Linked DNA regions of Mus musculus. The protein of the gene in region 2 purifies or fractionates together with the protein of the main gene of each other region. This does not show direct contact. Links are inferred from orthologs where the notes say so. Each region holds a gene or a part of one and is shown on either strand. Other genes may lie near its edges. The genes, in order: Arfgef2, Mycbp, Otud4, Arfgef1 and Spag5.

Region 1 (4,307 bases), on a different chromosome or scaffold from region 2:
GCCGGTGAATTGAGCCAATTCAAGAGAGGTAAGATTATATTAAATGTAGGTTTCCTGGGAAGCTGCGAAGCTGCTCTCAGTTGAGTTCACTGGTCCTGAGGAAGGAGGCAAGGCAAGTCGCCATGGGAAGAGAGGAAGAGTGCTTGCAGAGAGAGAGAGAAAGAGAGAGAGAGAGAGAGAGAGAGAGAGAGAGAGAAGCCAAAATGTCTGGAAGAGCCTCTGCCTCTGAGTGAAAAGGAAGGAGAAGGGCAGCCCAACCCTTGTGCTGGAAAGTTCAGGGTTGGGAGCAGGGGATGCCAGGTAGGGACTGAGGGATGCTGGGAGAACCTGGAGGCCAGGTCAGCTTTGGTATGTAAAATATGCAACTCAGTCCCTCATCCCAGAGAGGACATTGAGTTCAAGGTCAAGGACAGCCGGCGATACACATCAGGATTGTATCAAAACAACAACAACAAACAAAACAAACAAGTAAAACTCTAGCGACAGAAGGATTACTTCTTACAAACTGGCCCGCCAGGAGCTCTCTCTCCTGTGGCAGCAGGACTGTGTCCAGGGCTGGTGTGGTTTGCTGTCAGAGATACAAATCTGGAAGAGATAGACACCGTGAATATACCTTCCAGCCTACCCTTCTTTCCCCTCCCCTCCTCTCTCTTCTCTCTTCCCTTCTGGCTTCATCCTCAGTCCTGGTTCTTAACTTCCCTGAGCCTCCTTTCCATCCCTGATTTCTCTGCCCTTCCTGGATCCGGCATCTGACCTTCCCTACTCTCTGTCACCTCTCTCATTCCATTCACTTCCTTTTGCCCATCTCTCTTCTCTCGACTATTATTACTCTCACTAATTCTTTTTTTTAAAGATTTATTTATTTATTTATTTATTTATTTATTTATTATGTGTACACTGTAGCTGTCTTCAGACACTCCAGAAGAAGGCATCAGATTTCATTACGGGTGGTTGTGAGCCACCATGTGGTTGCTGGGATTTGAACTCAGGACCTTTGGAAGAGCAGTCGGTGCTCTTAAACACTGAGCTATCTCACCAGCCCTCACTAATTCTTTTTACGATTTTTTTCTTTCCCCTTTACTCCCTCTTTCGCTTTTCTCAGCATATCTAGCGCATGCTCTTAGTCTCTTCCTACCTCCGATCACTTGCATCTTTCCTTCAGGGCTGCCCATGTCTATAGGCTTTGACCTGCATTTTCTTCCCCTTCATAGTCATTGACCATCACTCCCCTACCTGGCCCGGTTATACTACTTAGACACGCCCGGACCAGCACCACTCGCGTAGGCCCCGCCCCAACCGAACAGACCACGCCCCACCACAGGTCTACTGCCCCGCCCACCCGCCCCACCCACAGAACTCCACCCCACTCTGGCTCCGCCTCCCGGCCGGCCCCCCACCCTTGGGGTCACAGGGTCGACCGACGCTCAGCAGACGCAGCGACACCGCCAGTCACGTGGTCACGTGACGCGCTGCAACTTGGCGGCGCCGTGGGGCCGGGGCGTCTCTTCCTGACAGGGCGGCGCGCACGGACGCGGCCGGTGCCGGCCGGGTCGCCGGGCCCTCAGCCTCGCTCTCCTGCTCGCTCGCACCGCCGGCTCGCGGGGTCGCCGGCCCCCGCAGGCCGGGGCCATGCAGGAAAGCCAGACCAAGAGCATGTTCGTGTCCCGGGCCCTGGAGAAGATCCTAGCTGACAAGGAGGTGAAGCGGCCCCAGCACTCCCAGCTGCGTAGGGCCTGCCAGGTGGCGCTCGGTGAGTGAGCCACCCCGGCCTGGCCCGCGCCGGCTTCCCCACGCCGGCCGTTACCCTCCGGGCCTGCTGCCCTCCACTCCTCCCAGCCCGAATCCCACCCTCCCGTCCTCTTCCGCTCGCTGTCCCCGTGGGAGCTGGTGTTGGGGCGGCCGAGACTGGCCCAAGGTCACCTAGCAAGTTGGTGACAGCCACGGCTGGTTTTCCAGCTTCCCTGCCTGGGGCCCTTGCCACGACTCCTTGTCCCGTTTCCTGGTTCCTCCCCTCACCATCTCCAAGTCCTCTGAAGCAGTAGCTCTCGATCTTAAGTTTTTCCTTCAGCGCCACTATGCTGGTTGGGGGCTCTCCCACGGGAGCGATCAGAGCAGGTCAGAGAGCTGCCCGGTTGGTGCCGAGGAACCCCGGAGGCTTGTTTGGGAAATGTCTCACTGGAGAACATTGGGGTTCCCAGGGCGCTTCGCCTGGAAGGGATGTAAGATGATCTATATTTCAGGCATTGGACAGCGTGTACGACTTCTACTCATTTTAGGGCGGGTCCCTAAAATAAAGGTTCTGTAGAGCAAAGATACTTGTCTGATTGCTTCAATGCGGTGTCCTGTGCATTTATGACAGTGCTTCGCACACAGTAGTTGCTCAGTAAATATTTGCTGGTTGAATGGATCCATGGATTGTGGAAAGACAGAAGTCTCTAGCTCCTAACTAGGTAAAAGCTCGGTAGTTGACACCAACATCAGTCTCCTATCTTTAGTTACTTCTCGAGAGCCTGTGTAGCAGGTACTGAGGAGATGTCTATGAAGGAGAAATGGAATCCTTTGTCCCTGTGGATCTTCTTAGGTTCTGATAGAGCAGACAAAACAGTACTAATAAGTACTGCTGTCAGAAAAAAGACTTAAGTGATACAGAGGACCTGAGGTCTGCTTTAGGTTGGATGGTCAGGAAAGTAGTCTTGTCTGAAAGTGTGACATTTGAGCCCAGGTCTGAAAGGTAAGAAATGTCGACTGTGTGGAGGTTCAAGAGGAAAAAAGTTGTGGACGGAGAGCGTCAGGACATTTGACCAGAGCTGTCTCCCTGTGAATTCATCGCCCTGTGCAATCCATGGGATTTGGTTAAAAGGCCTGTTGTCCTAAAAGGTTGAGTAAACAGAAGGGCTGAGTTTCTGTTAGTCACTCTTCTCCATGGGTGCAGGAGAACGTCCACTTGAGACCTTGGAATGGATTTGTGAGCTTTGCACTTCCCGGTGAATAAGATTCAGGCCTCAAATATGTGGGAAGCATTTGAGAGTCCCTAAGGGTCAGAAACTGTTGTTGATCTTGGGGGTTGCTTGAGGCCTGTGTAATCCTGAGCAGCTAATCTTGTGAAATTCAGGGTCTGTGGAAGGGATTTACTGAGACCTAAATGTTAAAGCTTTTCTGTTTTGAAAACCAGGGCCAAGAGTTGGGTTTTGTTCTATCAGGAATGTAGGGTAAGCATTGGAAAAGCAGCTGTGAGGGAGGCATGAGCCTCAGGCTGAACCCTCCTAGACTCCATTCTTGCCATAGGGCTTCACGTTTTAACTTCTTAATTTATTTTTATTTTATTTTATTTTTTGGTTTTTGTTTTTCGAAACAGGGTTTCTCTGTGTAATCCTGGCTGTCCTGGAACTCACTCTGTAGACCAGGCTGGCCTTGAACTCAGAAATCCACCTGCCTCTGCTTCCCAAGTGCTGGGATTAAAGCCATGTGCCACCACTGCCGGGCTGGCTGTCTTTGATTGCTCTCCACTTATGCAAGACAGTGTCTTTCCCTGAACTAAAGCTCACCAATTCTGCTAGCTAGCTAGCCAGCTTGCTCAAGAACCCCCTGTCTCAGCCTCCCAAGAACTTGCGCTATAGGGAGCCACCACACACGAGTGGCTTATTTGTATTTAAAAATGGGTTCTGGGGAGCCGAACGCTGGTCCTCACACTTCCACTGTGAGCACTTTACCCACTGAGCTACCCTTCCAGCCCCATACATTCCTCTTCTTAAATGAGGTTACTGAGACCCAAGAAAAGGCCTTGAGATACAGGATAAGGGGGGCACAGGTACTCTGCAGTATTTTAACTGTTCAGAAATAAAGTCTTTTCACCTAACTAAGCACATAGCTCCTATCTTAAATGATAGCTCCTTTAAGCCAGCCCTGGGTGTGAACTCCCTAACCACTGATAACAAGCCATCCCTCCAATTTCACATAACCTAGAGTGAAGTTACCTCCTGTCAGGGCCATTTCTTACACATGTGTGTATGCAGTAAGTATGCATGTTCACACATGAGAACACGTGTGTATAAATATATAATTCAAACGTGCATTTCTACAGCCTAAATTGGAAAAAATAAATCTGAACTTTTACACAAAAAATATAATCCGAGGGGAAAAAAAAAGAACCATCTAATAATGTCTCAGTGTTATGGCCCAGTATGGCTCGCAGGACAATTTAAGCAGACCCCAGCAATGTGATATTTGATGCTAAAATTTCTGAACAAGAAATTAAAACTTGGGCTGAGAGATGGCTCAGCGGTTAAGAGCACTGACTGCTCTTCCAG
Region 2 (4,313 bases):
CCAGGCGTGGAGGCAGAGGCAGGCGGATTTCTGAGTTCGAGGCCAGCCTGGTCTACAAAGTGAGTTCCAGGACAGCCAGGGCTATCCAGAGAAACCCTGTCTCAAAAAACAAAAAAACAAAAAACAAACAAACTCAGGTCCATTTGGCTTGGCAGCAAGCACCTTCACCTGCTGAGCCTTCTTGCTGGCTCTTAGCAACTAGGTATTTAAAGCCAGGTATTTTAAAGTTTGCTACCCTGCTCAAAATAACTAAAATGCTATTTTATGCATTCACCTTCTTCATGGATGTTTTTGTCTTGAAGGTTGTTATTGTTCTGTTGTTGATGATTGGTTGGTTAAGTTTGGTTTGGTTTTTTTTTTTTTTTTTTTTTAAAGATGTAGTTTTACTCTTTAGCCAAGGCTGGTCTCAGATTCAATCAGTCCTCCTACTTCAGCTTGTCAAGTGCAATTAGAAATGAAACAAGATGTCTAGGTCTTCTGCATATGCCTCAAACCTTTGAGGCAAGGTCTCCCTCAGCCTCCAGCTTCCATCCTTTTACCTAGGCTAGCAGAATTATACACACCAAGACCCTGTCTGGCTTATTATGAGTGCTGGTACCTGAACTCTAGCCCTATAGTTGTGTATCAAGTAATCTTACCTCTAAGCCATCTCTCTAGCCTAGCTATAGTTTACTTTTTTTGGAACAGATCTTGATACATGCTCCAGGCAAGCAGTGAATGCAGATCTGTTTTCCCTCACCAGAGCACTAAAAACATGTCACCATGCCTGGCTTCTTACAATGTTTTCATGTTAGAAACAACTTTAAATCCTCTCTGAAATGTTGCTGAAAGAAAAATGTAAACTTGTATGAAACATCTCTGTTTGATCCTGTAAAATTTGGTTCCCATTCTCTTACACAGCCTGAAGGCTGCACATTGGCTCTGCATTCAGTTATCTACAATTGTACTCCATCTGCCTTTCAGTGTTCTTGCCTGTCAACCTCCTGCATCCATTTCATTCCACGACCCTACCACACAGATTATTTGGGACCAAAAGTGTATCAGTGTTTATCTCCAGAGGTTGAACTATCTACTCATACATAATGAGTGTTTTGGAGATGAGATCCAAGCCTAAACATGAAATTAATTTACATTCCATATAGACCTTATTCACATAATATAAACATGATCTTGAACAAGTACATATTCCTAGGCTCCTGAATTTTGACTGACATAATTTATGCAGTCAAGTATGGAACTTTCCACATCAATACTCAGTAAGTTACAAATCTGAGAGCAATTTAGATTTCAAAATTTCAGATTAAGGATACTTATCCGTACTGTTCAAGGTCTTCCCTCTGCCACTCCATGTAAAATGTCCCATCTTTATCCTTGCTATGGTTTAAGTTAGACATTTACCACTAGCTGGCACTAGTTTTAGTGTGTGTGTGTCCCTATCTAAGCTACAAGCTCCCAAAAGCAAGAACATTTCCATGGCTGTATCCCCTTGGTGCCCAGAACACACGGCTGGAGTAAAATCATTACATGAAAGAAACATGAGGGGTTTTTTTTAACAGAATTCCAAGCCATCTGTGACACTTCTGATGCCACAAACTACAGTGGTCTCACAGAGTAGTTCCTTATACTTTTGCTCACATTGACTTCCGATGACATAAGGAAATGAGTAGTAATTCTAACTTGTCAGTTCATCCATGTAAGAGAATTAAAAGCCCTGCTTTCTTCTAAGTTCTCCCAAATTTTCCCCTAGCTTTTGTTCCCTAAAAAGCAGATACAAATTATTTCCCAGACACTTCCTATTCTCAAAAGGACCAAGTTTTCAATCCCTGCCAGCCATTCCATTCTATTCCCTTGAAAACACCAAGCAATGTTGAGTTCTTACCATGTAGAAGGCATTCAATATACTGTTAAGGCCAGTTAGCTTTATTCTATGATTCCAACCACCATACTCTCTAGCCTTACACCCAGAAAGGAAGGGATACACTTTACGCTTCCATTGTTTTAAAGTAAAGAATATAGCTGTTTTTATGTGCTCTGAAGCACTTTTCAAATTGTAATTCCACTTTAATTATGATATCTACACAAAGTAGGAATTACTATAGGCTAAAAGAGTTGAAAAGCCACAGCCCAAACTGTCTATGAATCTCCAGCTTCGGGGACTAGAGCCATTTAATAACCCACTTTCAAATCCAGTCATTTTCTTAGTTGCCTTTGTCCAAAAGAAAAATTTGTAAAATCCCGCACACTATACGGCAGGGAGCAACTGGGATCTCAAGGTCTTGCTAACGTGTCCACTGCGGCTGCTCGCGGGAAAGCAACGGAAGTTGGAGAGACTTTGCAACAGCTGCAAGAGTTTCAGTCCGGGGCAGAGAGCGACCACCGGGGCGAGGCGAAGTCCCGCGGCCGGCGTGCGCCCGACCCACGGGACCCCAAGGCCTCGCTGCTCCCGGGGCGGGCCCCACCTGGCCAAGAGCGCGCGGACGTGGGCTGCAGCCGCCCGCCTCGGCTCACCTTTCGTCAGCGTGTCCAGCACCCCCGACTTCTCCAAGTACCTCCGGAACTGCTCGCGCTTCGAGTCGGCGGCCTGAGGAGACACGGCGGGTCAGGGACCGGAGCCCGGGGCCGGAGCAGGAAGACGGCGCGCCCCGCCGCCGGCCCCAAGCCCTGCACACGCCCCAACTCCCACCCGGCGCCGCCCGCACGCCCCGAGCCACGCCGCGCCCCCCTCACTTTGTAATGGGCCATAGTGACAGCCACAGCGGCGTAGCTGGCGCCGGAGACACGGGCAGGCGGGCTCCAAGCCTCACTGCTCATGCGCGGAACGGCGCGCGCGTCTGCGCACTGGGCAGGCACGGGCCGGGGCCACCGGGGTGTGGCCTGTTTTCATGGCGACCGGGACGCTGTGTATCCCTGTCTCCTCGGAGCCTAGAGAGGCTGCGTGAGCCCGCCCTCCGCGGTTCCGGGCAGTCTCGCGTCTTCCTGTTCCGGTTGCCGCGGCGATTCGGTTGCCTAGCAAGAGGCGAGGTTTAGGTAAAGCCAGGCGAACGACCTGTGGGGCCCTGGATGGGTGTGGCCAGGAGTTAGAGGCTCCTGATGTAGTATCTCCCCACGTGTTAGTGGGCGCGCACTCCTTGTCATTTGGGTCTTTGGTGAGGAACAGACCAATGCCGTGTTTCTTGGCTCAGAAAAATACCCAGCACCAGGAAAAAGTTCAAGGTCACCCTCAGCTAAATAAAGAATCTCTTTTGGGCTTGTTCAGGGCTTGCTTGTAATCATTAAGCCCCGTGATATTTGCAGATAACTGCTGGCTGGTAGAAAACTTATCTCTACAGCAATGTTGGATTAGGGCAATGACCTCTGAAGTGGTTCTTTTCTCTGCCTTTGTCATTAGTTTCCTTTTTTTTTTTTTTATACCCCCTTAGTGGTTAACATTAAGTTCTTTTCCATATATATTATGCGTGTTTTTATGTTGAAAATAATTATAGGTAGTACTAAGTGTGTATGTCTCTCTAAGGAGATTTCTAAGTGCAGAAGAGGGCCCTTTAATGAATTTGTAGTTGTGCCTGCTACTTGGCTAGATTTTGTTTTGATCTCTCTATATAGAAGTCATTCTATTCACTAGGCGCTGGTGGCACACGAATTTAATCTCAGTGCAAGAAAAGTGGAGACCATCCTGAGTTCGAAGCCATTCTGGTCCAAGATGGTCAGGGCTACACAGAAACCCTGTCTCCAAAACAAAGAATTCATTGTAGTCTTGTTTTAATGTAAGGCCCTACCCCCACCTTATCTTTTTGAAATCCAGTGGATTTTTTTTTTTCCAGGAGTTGGGGAAGAGTATTCATGCCGTGGTGCAGTTGGAGATCGGAAGACTCATAGGACTTGCTCTCCTTCCACCGTTAGTCTCAGTAATTGCATTAAGGTTGTCAGGCTTGACAACGAGTGCCTTTACCACCAAGTCATCTTACTGCTCCCTAGCTGCAAAGTTTCTAGACTATCTAAGAAAAGCAAAACGATGGCTCTATGTTGCACAAATAATGAAAATACTGTCTTTTCTGTTGGTCTTGAGAAAAAAACATATTTGGTTATGAGAAGCCACAGAACTTAAACTCATGTTGAAAGAACTTATGAACCCAGCTTCAACCACAAACTGAATGAAAAAGTGCAAAGCAGAGTCCCCTGGTGGGTGGTGCTTGCCTTGCCTCCCTTTGTTCCTGTTGGCAATGCCCTTCCTCCCTCCCATCTCTGCTCTAAGGCATTCGAGACTCATCCAGTTTTTTTAGTTGAGCTTTTTGGGAATTTTACATGGAGTGGGGATG
Region 3 (4,313 bases), on a different chromosome or scaffold from region 2:
CCAGTTCTTGGTTGTTATCCAGGAGAGGTGTAAAACGCAGCTGGAGTCTCTTTTCTTACTGTTTTGGGACATTACTAGAAAGTAGCCTTGCACAGTCTAAGCTTCCCGCATCACAAGAACCGTCCACGCATTTTCAAAAACACCAACTGTTTGCCATTTCAACAAATTACATTTGGCAATATAGCTTTCCCAGTAGCTGCATTAGACACTGTTATGGATCAAGCATTATTAATCTGAGTGAGCCACAGTGTCACCTGATAGGGCTTGCCTGTCAGCAAGGCGCCTCCGGTTTGTGTTCAAGCCATTCACCTAACAACAGGTGGCAGGCAGAAATTAGTAAAGCTCACTTCTCATCAGTAACTACATCACAAGTATCTGTTTTTTCTCCTTTTAACAAAGATTTTAGAACATGTCATCAACCTGAACCTGCAATCCAGATGCAAAACTCTCATCAATGTACATGAAGTGTAGAATATTGATAATTTAGTAAGTCAAACAATGCAAAAAAAGCAAGACTGAAATGACAACTCTTCAAATAGTAAATTACTTCTCAATCCCTGGACACTCAAAATTCAAGTGGTCTGCTATGTTGCTCCATGAAAATAGGCTAAAGGTAGAAGCTTTAAAACAAGGTAGTGATAAACACAGGGAAAGGCTGAGACACTGTTTTAGCAAGTCCTCTAAGAGTGCCCTATTTTTAGCTACAAGGCTAGGAGCTGATTCAGGTCAGGCTTCCTGCAGGCCCAAATCCACAAGTGAAAAGAAAAAAGAAAAAAAAAAAGGAAAAAGCATCTCTAAATCAGGTAATCTGAAGGGGAAAAGGCTAATCTCAAGCGCGCTCGAATCCTCTTCTCTTAGGACTATTTAGCTTCCTGACTCTTAAAAATATTTATTGAACTATTTACCAGAAAAGAAATTCCACTAAAACAAATCCTTCCTACAGACTTTTAAAGGCAGCGGAGGCTAACACATTCTTCCTCACCATTACTTCCTCACTCAGTCTGGATCTACTGGAATACTTATGTTGCTTCCCCTAGATGTAGGCTCAATATATTCAAAATAAAGCGTCCCCAAATTTGTAAAGGTTAGGTCCTTTAAGACTAACCCAGATCCCAAGGCTGAAACGGAGTTTACCCCCATCAATGAGTTTAGTGCAACTAGCTCTTGCCCACTGTGCAGACACTGAGTCCCCCAAGCTGCTCTTCTATCCCCAAGGATCTGTGGCATGTCTCATGGGCAGAAACACACCTTTCTGTCTCACTTTAAATAGGCCTGGATAACTCAACTCCAAACACTAACCTCTACCTCCATCCTCCACAAACTTGCTAATGCACTATAATATAAACCGACACCATGGGATGACTTCACTTCCCCTCTTCAGCTTCTAGAGGTGCTAGAGGCCAAGAAGGCTGAGACAAGGAGACAATCTTCTTCATCTGGAAAACTCACAAATGGAGCAGACTGTTTACCTATGTAACAGTAAAGACTGGGCTGGAAACAGCACCCACACTGGAGCTTCCTACATTTCTGAAAATAAGAGATATCAAATGGTAGGATGGTTTGGGAAGCATCAAAGAATGTTTCAATGGACATACCTGTCATAAGTGCAAAGTGTTCCATATTTACATACTCTGAAAAATACATAGCCTGGTGATTCTAAAACAGAAATCTTAAAAGCTAGTTAGCTCACAAAAGGGGGCGGGCGGGAGGGGACAAAACCATAAAAACTCCAGATTAAGCCAAAGGAAAGCAAACTGTAAATGGTATGAAATACAAACTGGAGCAGTAATGTGAAACTTTTTTAATCCAACTACTTTAGCAGCTAGTCTTCAAATATAGGATGGGTTTTGGTGACCCCACACCTACATCTGATTACATAACATGGGGAAAAGGGCTCGCTCTCAAAAAAGAAAAGCCTTGAGTATTCTTCCCTGGAACTCGTCCCACTCCTGAGTTCTAACTCACTTCTCTTTGGTAAAATGTTCGATCTGTACTGGGAATAATTTTTGACCAATAAGGAAAACAAAACAAAAAACGGAAACAAAAAAAAAAACCCGACATGTGCCTATACTGAAAATCCATCCTATTACTTAAAGGCCTTTAGAAGAGTAAATTCTTGCCTGATTCCAACATAGTATAGTATGGGACCTACTCAAGATTAAGTCACTGGGAAGACCCTATACAGGAAGACTGCTTTCCTTAAACAGCAAAGTTGGCCGCCTGTTTCGAGTGACACCGGTGAGACCGACTACCCCGCATTCCAAAGTCCAGCAACAGGAAAAAAAAAATGTGAAGCAGTCACACTGAGTGCCGCACCTCCTCCAGTAAACATGAGGTTAACTAGTGGGAACACTCGGCTGCTAAAAACTGAGCGCAGGTGAACGCGGAACACAACTCAAAAACAGCATGTCGCTGGGTCCCTGGCGGTCAGGCTGCGAGCAGGCCGCCCGAGATGTCCTCACTCGGTCCCGTGCCGGCGTTACAATGGGCCGCTGTGACGACAGCGAGCCACGCGCAGCCCCGCCGTGGGCGGCCAGGCAGCTGCGGGCGGCATGTCGCACCCAGCCCCGCGCCCGCCCGGCTCCGGCCCGGGTCCTTTACCTGCTCGGCCACAGCCCGGAACAAGCACGACCCGTCCTTGGCGACCAATTTCCGATACAAGCCCAGTTTGCGCAGATAGGCGTCCATGGGCGTCTCATCCTCCAGCGGCCCCACGCCGCCCTGGTCCACGCCGTCGGGCGCGCCGACGGCTGCCTCCATGTTGCCGGTCCGCTGCAGCGTGCGCGGGGCGAACTAGCCCCACATGGCCGCGCCGCCGGCTGCTCGACGCCCGGGCCTGGGGCAGGCTGCGGCTCGGGCTCCGGCTCCGACGCGGACACGGCGAGCGGCGGCAGGAAGAGGCGGTGGCGGCAGCGGCCCGAGGCGGTGGCCGGCGCTCTCCCGGAGCATAGGTGAGCCCAGCCTAGTGCATGGCCATCCGCACGCGGCCGCCTCCGCGGAGGGACACGCGCCCGCGGGCAGCCCGGGGGTCGCCGCCCCCACAAGTTTCCGGGTCTCGACCGGTGTGAGGCGAGAAAAGCCCCGGCGGCGCGCCCGGCTGAGATTAAGCGAGGCCTGCGTCTCCCGCACGCACCCCACGCCGAGAACCGAGGAAACGCGGAGAGAAAGCCACGGCCGCTCGTCTCCCCACCTCGCCGGAGGGCGCCTGAGGGGCGGGGAGCGGGAAGGGGCGCCGGGCGGAGGGCAGCAACCTCGCAGCCTAGAATTTGTTTTCGCTTTCAGCCCTCGGCGCAGCGGACGACGGGAGTTGTAGTTTAAGCCGCGGCAGGAAGTCCTCGTGCAGAGGGCGGGGACGCCTGGGTCGGCCTACCCGGAGGGGAGGTGCCCCACGGGCTCGCGGACTACAAATCCCTACAATGCTAGCGGTGCCGAACCTAGAACTGCCTTCGCGCTTCCCAGGCCGCGTCCGCGAGCAGGCCCGAGGGTGTCTGTCGCTTACGCCGCTGACCTGCGCGCGCTGCCCCGCCCTCCCGGCGAGCCTCCCGCCCTGAGCGCCGTGGGGCGGCGGAAAGCGCGCGAGCGCAGCTTGCGTGCAGTTGCTAGGGGCTCAGTGGCGGTGCCGCCGGCCCTTTGTGTAGTTCCAGAGGACGCACCTGTCCGCACCCCACTCAGGGCCTCCCCTCCTAGCGTTTTCTTAGGGGTGGCTAAACGCTTAGAGCAGAAAACCGGGCACCTCACCCGAGGCCCTTGGAGCCGCCAGCCTAAGCCATTTTGACCCTCAATGAAGCGTTGACAGTTGATTGAAATTGGGACAGCTCACACTCTGACAAGATCTGGCTTTGCCAAGGGCATGCCTGCTCATTCTGTCACAGCAGCTGCGCTCTGCCACACAAAGAGCTGTCCCTGTTAGAAGAAATTACTTCTTTTTTTTTTTTTTTTTTTTTTTTTTAATTCGGTGATAACGCTACGGGGAATCCGACCTGAGCAGTCCAATTGGGTTTGCGAATCCGGAACTTAACCTCTTGGGACGTCAGAATTTTATTTTACTAGCATACAATAGCATCTCGTATCATTTAAATTTATTAGAACTTCGGTCTTGACGTTGTGTTGGAAAAAGAAAAGTGGTAAATTACCTTAGGTTTAAAGGTGTAGGCATTCTTGGGAATGGTGCCAAGACATGCCAGGTGGTAGGATTGCAACACGTTACTTAAAATGTAAGCTATTAATATTTAAATATTCCTATAAATGTGCTATTTTTAGAAAATATATCGCAAGCTAAATAATTTTTTTTTTAAAAATCCTTGACCCAAATT
Region 4 (3,944 bases), on a different chromosome or scaffold from region 2:
GCCACACACACCAGTAGGCACCAGTAATCTCAGTACCTTGGAGGCAGAGGCAGGAGGACTGCCATAAGTTCTATAGTTCAAGGGTAGCCTGGTCTACATAATGAGTTCCAAGTCAGCCAGTGATAGATAGCAGCTATCCCAAACTTAATACTGACAGATGACTGGAAGAAAAAAAAATCAGGGGTTATTTACCATGAGACTGCATACTGAAAATTTACTTTATAGAGAGCTAAATGTAACTTTTATGAAATATGGAAAATGCCTCTTGTTAAAAACAAAAACACCCAAAAAACTTCCTGTAAACAAAGTACTCTGGTACTCGTTAAATGGCAAAAGATTTAAAGAGCACACCATCAAGAATTCCTATGCCTAAAAATGTCAGGGCTGCAGTTAAGGGAGCTACAGACTTTCTGAAGAAATGTAGAGCGGCAAGAATACCAGATGTATCTAGCAGAAGAACGCACTCACATTCACTGAGTCCACTACCCTTAACTGGACTGAGAAAGTCCAAGCACAGTAATACTGAACTGTAACAAAAGATGGACTTAAACCCCAGACTCTCATTTCGATGAGCTGCCAACATACTCATTTTAGTATTTGGAAAGAGAAAAAAAGTACATAAAAACCAGTTTACTTAAAACCTGTAAATGTGTATGCTTTAGCATACTGGAAATACTTTCTGGGTTTGGATATTTTTCAGTTGATAGAATGCTTGCCACTACAAATGAATCCCTGGGTTCCATCCTCTGCATTGCACCTCTAAAACAAGCCGTCATTTGTCTATAATCCCAGAATTCAAAATCAGAGACAGTGGTTTAGGAAAGTTCAAGTTGTCCTCAGCTACAAAGAAATATTAGGCCAGCCTGGGCTACTTGGAACCTGTCTGCATGCCCCCATGCCCCTTGCTTAAAAAAAAAAAAAAAAAAAAAAAAGGAAAAAAAATGGACACACATACTCTAACACAGCAAAGCTTAGTTCTTAAATACTAAAGCTTTAATTTGAATTTCATTTGTTTTTTTACCCTGCCAGGTTACTGAAAACCCTACAGCACACAATAATTTTAAAAGTTCTTAAAACCCTTCCTATCACTCCAATTAATAATGACTTCTTTCAGGACCCAAATATAAATTCAATTTTTGCAACTGTACAATAGTCTTCTCATTCACCTGGAAACGTGTTGTTAGTTACAATAACAAAATGGGAACTTATGACCAATGAAGGGCAAAGGAAGGAACTATTTAAGTCCACTATACTACTACATTAACAACAAAACACCACCAACAAAAAGGACCATTTTTTGGTGGATGTTAAACAAATCCAGTTGATGTTTTTCATATTACTAAGTATTGAGAAAAAAAGGAGGAAGGGCGGCTGTAACATTTGGAGTAAGTTAAATGGTAGTCTTAAGTCAAAACTTAAATGCAAAATTGTCTCTAACCTATCTGGACCCCTTACTTTAGCATAAAGTTAGTTTGTCCCCTTTCAAAAATGTTTTTCAAAAATCACTTTTAACCATTTTCATTTCTTGCAAAGTTGAGCTGCTCTGGTCCAGGGCTATAAACAAAAGGGTAAGCATCACAAATTTATCTGTGTTAAATGTTCTGGCTTCTCCCTTAACAATTCTCTTATTGATGGATGCACTAGACCTACCAAACCTACCGCAAACAAATCGTTATCTGCCTACAATGGTTTTATAGGTATTGTTTGGGATTTGCCCTGCTGTGGCTTCATTACACTAGACCTCTTCTGTCTGAACTATAAATCACAACTGAAGCTTGAGAACAGCTGCCACTGTCCAGACATGTGGCTGGTGGGTGTCATTGTCTTTCTCTTTTCTCTCATTTCACACACACCCCTTTCTGTGTTACCTAAAGTCAATTTATCTAAAGGTTCTTTCCTTCCACATTTCCACACAGACACGGCCACCGCCACCCCCTTAACCTCTAGTCTTGTTCTTCCAGGTCAGCCCAGTAGGTTACATTACTACTCTTTTTTCCTGTAGCTGGGGCAGAGAGATGGCAAACTCGAGGCACCTTTTGCAACCCCCTTTCTCGAGACTGTCAACGAGGGAACAACTTCAACCTTTCTTCCCAAAGTACCACGCCAAATCATAAAGTTATTGTAATTGCAATACGGAACCCTCCCCCACGCTCAGTCTCGTCAGATCGGCCCCACCTCAATTTCTAAGCTAATAAACAACAGCTCATCTTCTGCTCCATCACAAAGGATGACATTCTGTCCGCACCGCAGGGGCCACCAACAACCCTCCCCCCATCCCGTCCTGTGGACCACTCGAAGCCAGGTGCCTCGCGATCCGTAACCATCTCGAGTTCCAGGGGCCCCGGCTGGCCGCCTATCCTCCTCCACTCAGCCGGTGCCCCGCGTCCAGCCGAGTTGCTGTCAACTCCAGTCGGGCGGCCAGCAGGGCTCCCCGGACGAGCCGCCCGCCACGCCGCCCACCTCTCGCGGCCGGCACCCCGCGCCGCGGCCTCCTCCGGGCTCACCTAGGGCCACCTCGCACGCTTTGCGCAGCTGGGAGTGATGCGCCTTCTTCACTTCCTTGTCGGCCAGAATCTTCTCCAGGGCCCGGGTCAGGAACATGTTCTTCGTCTTCTTGCCCTCATACATGGACGCGGAGGAGGCGGCGGCGGCGGCGGTCCCGGCGGCTGGAGGGAAGGCGGAGGAGGGGGACGGGGACCGGGATGAGGACGGGGAGGGAGAAAGGCGAGGAGGTGGCGGTGGGGGCGAGGAGGCGTGGAGGGCAGCGGCGGCACCAGGAAGCGGCCGGCGACGCGGAGCGGCCGCGGGGCCGCCAAGGGCGTCGAAAGCCTCGCCACGCTCGAGGGGCCGCCGTTCGAGGGCCGCGCCCGTCCGGCCTCGGCGCCGTCGGCCCGGGGGTCGCTTCCCGGCCGCCCGCCTCACTCGTCCCTACGGCCCGGCGGCGGCGGCACTCGGCCCGGGCGGCCGTCTTCCCGGGGCCGAGGGCCTAGGTGGCGGCGCCTCACACTGCCAGCAGGCGCGAGGCTGCCCTAGCTACCGTGGGGACCAGCATCCGCCGCAGCCGCCGACTGGCCTCCATCACCGCCGACCTGCCCCGGACGCCATGTTGAGAGGAAACGACGCGTCACGCAGCGGCCGAACGGCTGCGGAGAGGAAGCGGCGGCGGCGGCGGTGCCAGCGCCAGCCCAGAGCTGCCGCGGCGCCGAGAGGCAAGGGGCGGAGGGCGGCGCGGGAGGAGCGGCCGGAGCTGCAACTCTACGGCGGCCCGGCGGGGACTCGCCGCCTCCCGCGTTCGCCTGCAGGGCAGCGTGGGGCGTGGCGGGCGTCCTGCTGCGCGGCACGGCGTGGCGCGGGGCTTCTGCTCTTGCGGGCTACTGGGATGCGTGATCGGAGCACAGGGGCGCTCCCAAGGCCGGGACGACAGGACCCCTGCCTACCGTGCACGGGCTTCCCCAACTTTCTGGACAGCCGGTCGCCGGGGAGCAAAGTTCCTCGCGGTCCTAGGGCCACAGGAACACCCGCGTCGCTCCCTCAGGCGCACCTGGTTTCCGCCTGCCACACGGGGTCTAAATTTCCTTCTCAGGTGTAGGAAATTGCTATCCTTGACCGATACTTTCAATTACTTCAAGATGGATCTCTTTTGCAAAACGTAAGCTAAAAACCACTGGGCGAAGATTCAGGAATATTTTCACTTTTTAAATCTCTCAATAGGGTAAATCAGTAAACCCTAGGTTTCATGCCCTTTTCTGATTGACACTGAAGTTAAGGTGAGTGCTTCTGACTCAGGTACCGCACAGAGCCCTCCCGTTCTCTACCTTTAATCCGGAGTTTTCAGAATGGAAAAGCTTTAAGAACAGATACTCCTGACCATACTGTGCCTGCTTTAATGCCACAGAACTCAAATTTCCGCATTGCTTCTGAGAGAAAACGTTAAGAATCCCATG
Region 5 (2,197 bases), on a different chromosome or scaffold from region 2:
AGAGACGATGCCCTTCCCACATCATGGAACCCTGCCAACAGGGCCCTAGAGGGAAGAGATGGACTTGTGTTTGTCTCTACCACAATCAGTCCTTTGCTGTGTAAGGCATTATGTGGAATGTTGGGGATTAAGCCTGGTTTAGAGGAGAGATCTCTAAACATCAGCAGGTAGGGCAGAGGCCCACCTAACAGTGCCCCACTTCAAGACATGGAATAATGGAATTGAGTTTCTGTGCTCTGCCCCATATTTACCAGTGCCTACCCCCAAGGGGGATGGGGAAAGTAAGTGAATGGAGTCTTTTCTGTTCCCCCCAGGCAGTGGTCCAGGGAACAGGCAGTCCATTGCCCTCCCCCCCACCCCCTTTTTTTGTTGGTAGAAGAAGAGAATCAAGCAAAGAAAAGCAGTCAGCCTTGGCTTTAGCTGCAGCAGGAAGTGGTGAAGGGTGCCTAGGCTGAAGTGCTGATCTGCCCACTCCTACCCCCAAAATAAGATTCAGTGGACTGGAAGGACTACATTAAATACACTTTATTTAAATAACATAAAACATGGTCGGCTCTATGCCAATTGGTCTTATTATTGGGATAAGGGTTGGGATAAAGAGCCCTGAAGGAAACTGGAGTGGAGTGGAATTCATTTTTCAGGGTTTTTGCTGTGTTGTCTGTGTTAGGTTCCCAAATTCCTGGGATTTGGCAGCACTCCAACTTTGGCGTCTGGAGCAGCTGGAACTACAGGTGCACACCACTGCATTCCAATATTTTCAGTTTCTTAGCTCAGAAATTCTAGCAATCCTTGTAACTCCTTGCAACTCTTCATAGTCTCTGGGATAGACAACAGAGTCTGGGAAGAGACAGAAAACAGTTCTGAATCACAAGCCTGAAGCCAAAGCTCCTGGCCTGTGATGCTGGAAAAGTGAAAATGAAGCCACTGTAAGAAGTCAGGCTGAGGGCTGGAGAGATGGCTCAGCGGTTAGGAGCACTGCCTGTTCTTCCGAAGATCCTGAGTTCAAGTCCCAGCAGCCACATGGTGGCTCACAACCATCTGTAATGAGATCTGACTCCCTCAGAGGACAGCTACAGTGTACTTTCATATAATAAATAAATAAATCTTTAAAAAAAAAAAAAAGTAGTCAGGCTGAGAACCGGAGCCATGCTCCTCAGCCCCTCCGGCAGCCAGGTCCCACTACCTCCTTCACTTTTACCTCATAGACATGCTGAATTGTGTCATCGAGTTTCTTTAACTCTGTGTCAGAGCGCCGAAGATTCTCCTCCAGGATGTGCCTCTACAATGCAAACAGGCTTCATGAACCCTACACGTAAAGAACACAGCTAGAGAGAACAGAGGAAATATATATGGCAGGGTGCTTCTGTGGTGGAAGGAAACAGAACTGCTTACATGGCTCAGATACTTGTCCATCAGCTGTTCCTTCTCAGTTTTCATCTCCAGGAACATAACCCTCAGCTTGCTCACCTATAAATATGTCCACGTTAATAGGGGCATAGCGTGGGGTCCCCATTATTTGTACAGCTCCTTTGTTAACTCTGTGTTACCTCCTGTGAGAGAAACACTTTTTCCTGGATCCAGTTAGTAGCCATCAGCTGGCAGCTGGGATCTAGCTGGCCTTCCAGGGCTTCCTGGAGCACTTTAGTCTCTGTCTCTGCACGCCGAAGTGACTGTGTGAGCTGGGTCACCTCCTCTCTGAGGTTCTGGGAACAAGAGCAGAGGTAACCCAACAGCACTCAGGGGTAACGGAGATAACCCAACAGTACTCAGAGGTTCTTTCTCTCCTTCCTCCATCAGGTGGGAAAAGCAGAGACCTGGCCATAGCATCAGGAGAAACGTACTATGAGCTGGCCGCTCTTGTCTATTTGCCCCAGGATCTTCTCGTTCTGCTTCTGTATCACTTCCAGGAGCTCCTTCTCATTCTGTGAAGAAGGACAGAAGCACTGAGGAAAGGCTCACTTCTTTTCAGCCAGAAGACAGGACTGAATGCCCGAGCCATGCTCAGCCCCGGGGACTCGTTCATATCCGTCCACTTATTCAGGACCAAGTCAAGCATGGCACGTCTTGGTTTCAGAACTCTGCTTCAGTTCTGGGCTTTTCTCCTGGGTCTGCTTGGAGAAGACAGGTCAACCCAGTACTAGTTCTCAGATAGGAAGTGTCTGACCCCAAAAGGGCAAAACTAGAGCAGTAGTTGGAA

The links.
Region 1: the proteins of Mycbp (region 2) and Arfgef2 purify together in Homo sapiens (co-immunoprecipitation; 4 studies listed by BioGRID and IntAct, with this or other methods). This does not show direct contact. The link is inferred for Mus musculus from reciprocal best matches to the Homo sapiens genes MYCBP and ARFGEF2.
Region 3: the proteins of Mycbp (region 2) and Otud4 purify together in Homo sapiens (co-immunoprecipitation; 3 studies listed by BioGRID and IntAct, with this or other methods). This does not show direct contact. The link is inferred for Mus musculus from reciprocal best matches to the Homo sapiens genes MYCBP and OTUD4.
Region 4: the proteins of Mycbp (region 2) and Arfgef1 purify together in Homo sapiens (co-immunoprecipitation; 4 studies listed by BioGRID and IntAct, with this or other methods). This does not show direct contact. The link is inferred for Mus musculus from reciprocal best matches to the Homo sapiens genes MYCBP and ARFGEF1.
Region 5: the proteins of Mycbp (region 2) and Spag5 purify together in Homo sapiens (co-immunoprecipitation; 3 studies listed by BioGRID and IntAct, with this or other methods). This does not show direct contact. The link is inferred for Mus musculus from reciprocal best matches to the Homo sapiens genes MYCBP and SPAG5.

What each region holds. Positions count from the first base shown.
Region 1 is NC_000068.7:166,804,086-166,808,392, forward strand, and holds the start of Arfgef2 (brefeldin A-inhibited guanine nucleotide-exchange protein 2), read left to right. Parts: upstream 1-1,495; 5' UTR 1,496-1,629; coding exon 1,630-1,750; intron 1,751-4,307. UniProt on the Homo sapiens protein: Promotes guanine-nucleotide exchange on ARF1 and ARF3 and to a lower extent on ARF5 and ARF6. Promotes the activation of ARF1/ARF5/ARF6 through replacement of GDP with GTP. Involved in the regulation of Golgi vesicular transport.
Region 2 is NC_000070.6:123,903,502-123,907,814, reverse strand, and holds the start of Mycbp (C-Myc-binding protein), read right to left. Parts: upstream 2,803-4,313; 5' UTR 2,743-2,802; coding exon 2,728-2,742; exon of another isoform or gene 2,582-2,727; coding exon 2,509-2,581; exon of another isoform or gene 2,254-2,508; intron 1-2,253. UniProt on the Homo sapiens protein: May control the transcriptional activity of MYC. Stimulates the activation of E box-dependent transcription by MYC.
Region 3 is NC_000074.6:79,638,353-79,642,665, reverse strand, and holds the start of Otud4 (OTU domain-containing protein 4), read right to left. Parts: upstream 2,804-4,313; 5' UTR 2,761-2,803; coding exon 2,602-2,760; intron 2,563-2,601; exon of another isoform or gene 2,153-2,562; intron 1-2,152. Other genes in the region: uncharacterized protein Gm51579, read left to right, coding at 2,804-3,313.
Region 4 is NC_000067.6:10,229,867-10,233,810, forward strand, and holds the start of Arfgef1 (brefeldin A-inhibited guanine nucleotide-exchange protein 1), read right to left. Parts: upstream 2,805-3,944; 5' UTR 2,629-2,804; coding exon 2,505-2,628; intron 1-2,504. UniProt on the Homo sapiens protein: Promotes guanine-nucleotide exchange on ARF1 and ARF3. Promotes the activation of ARF1/ARF3 through replacement of GDP with GTP. Involved in vesicular trafficking.
Region 5 is NC_000077.6:78,320,768-78,322,964, reverse strand, and holds the end of Spag5 (sperm-associated antigen 5), read right to left. Parts: intron 1,923-2,197; coding exon 1,842-1,922; coding exon of another isoform or gene 1,827-1,841; exon of another isoform or gene 1,815-1,826; intron 1,704-1,814; coding exon 1,548-1,703; intron 1,468-1,547; coding exon 1,393-1,467; intron 1,307-1,392; exon of another isoform or gene 1,280-1,306; coding exon 1,199-1,279; intron 838-1,198; coding exon 766-837; 3' UTR 508-765; downstream 1-507. UniProt on the Homo sapiens protein: Essential component of the mitotic spindle required for normal chromosome segregation and progression into anaphase. Required for chromosome alignment, normal timing of sister chromatid segregation, and maintenance of spindle pole architecture.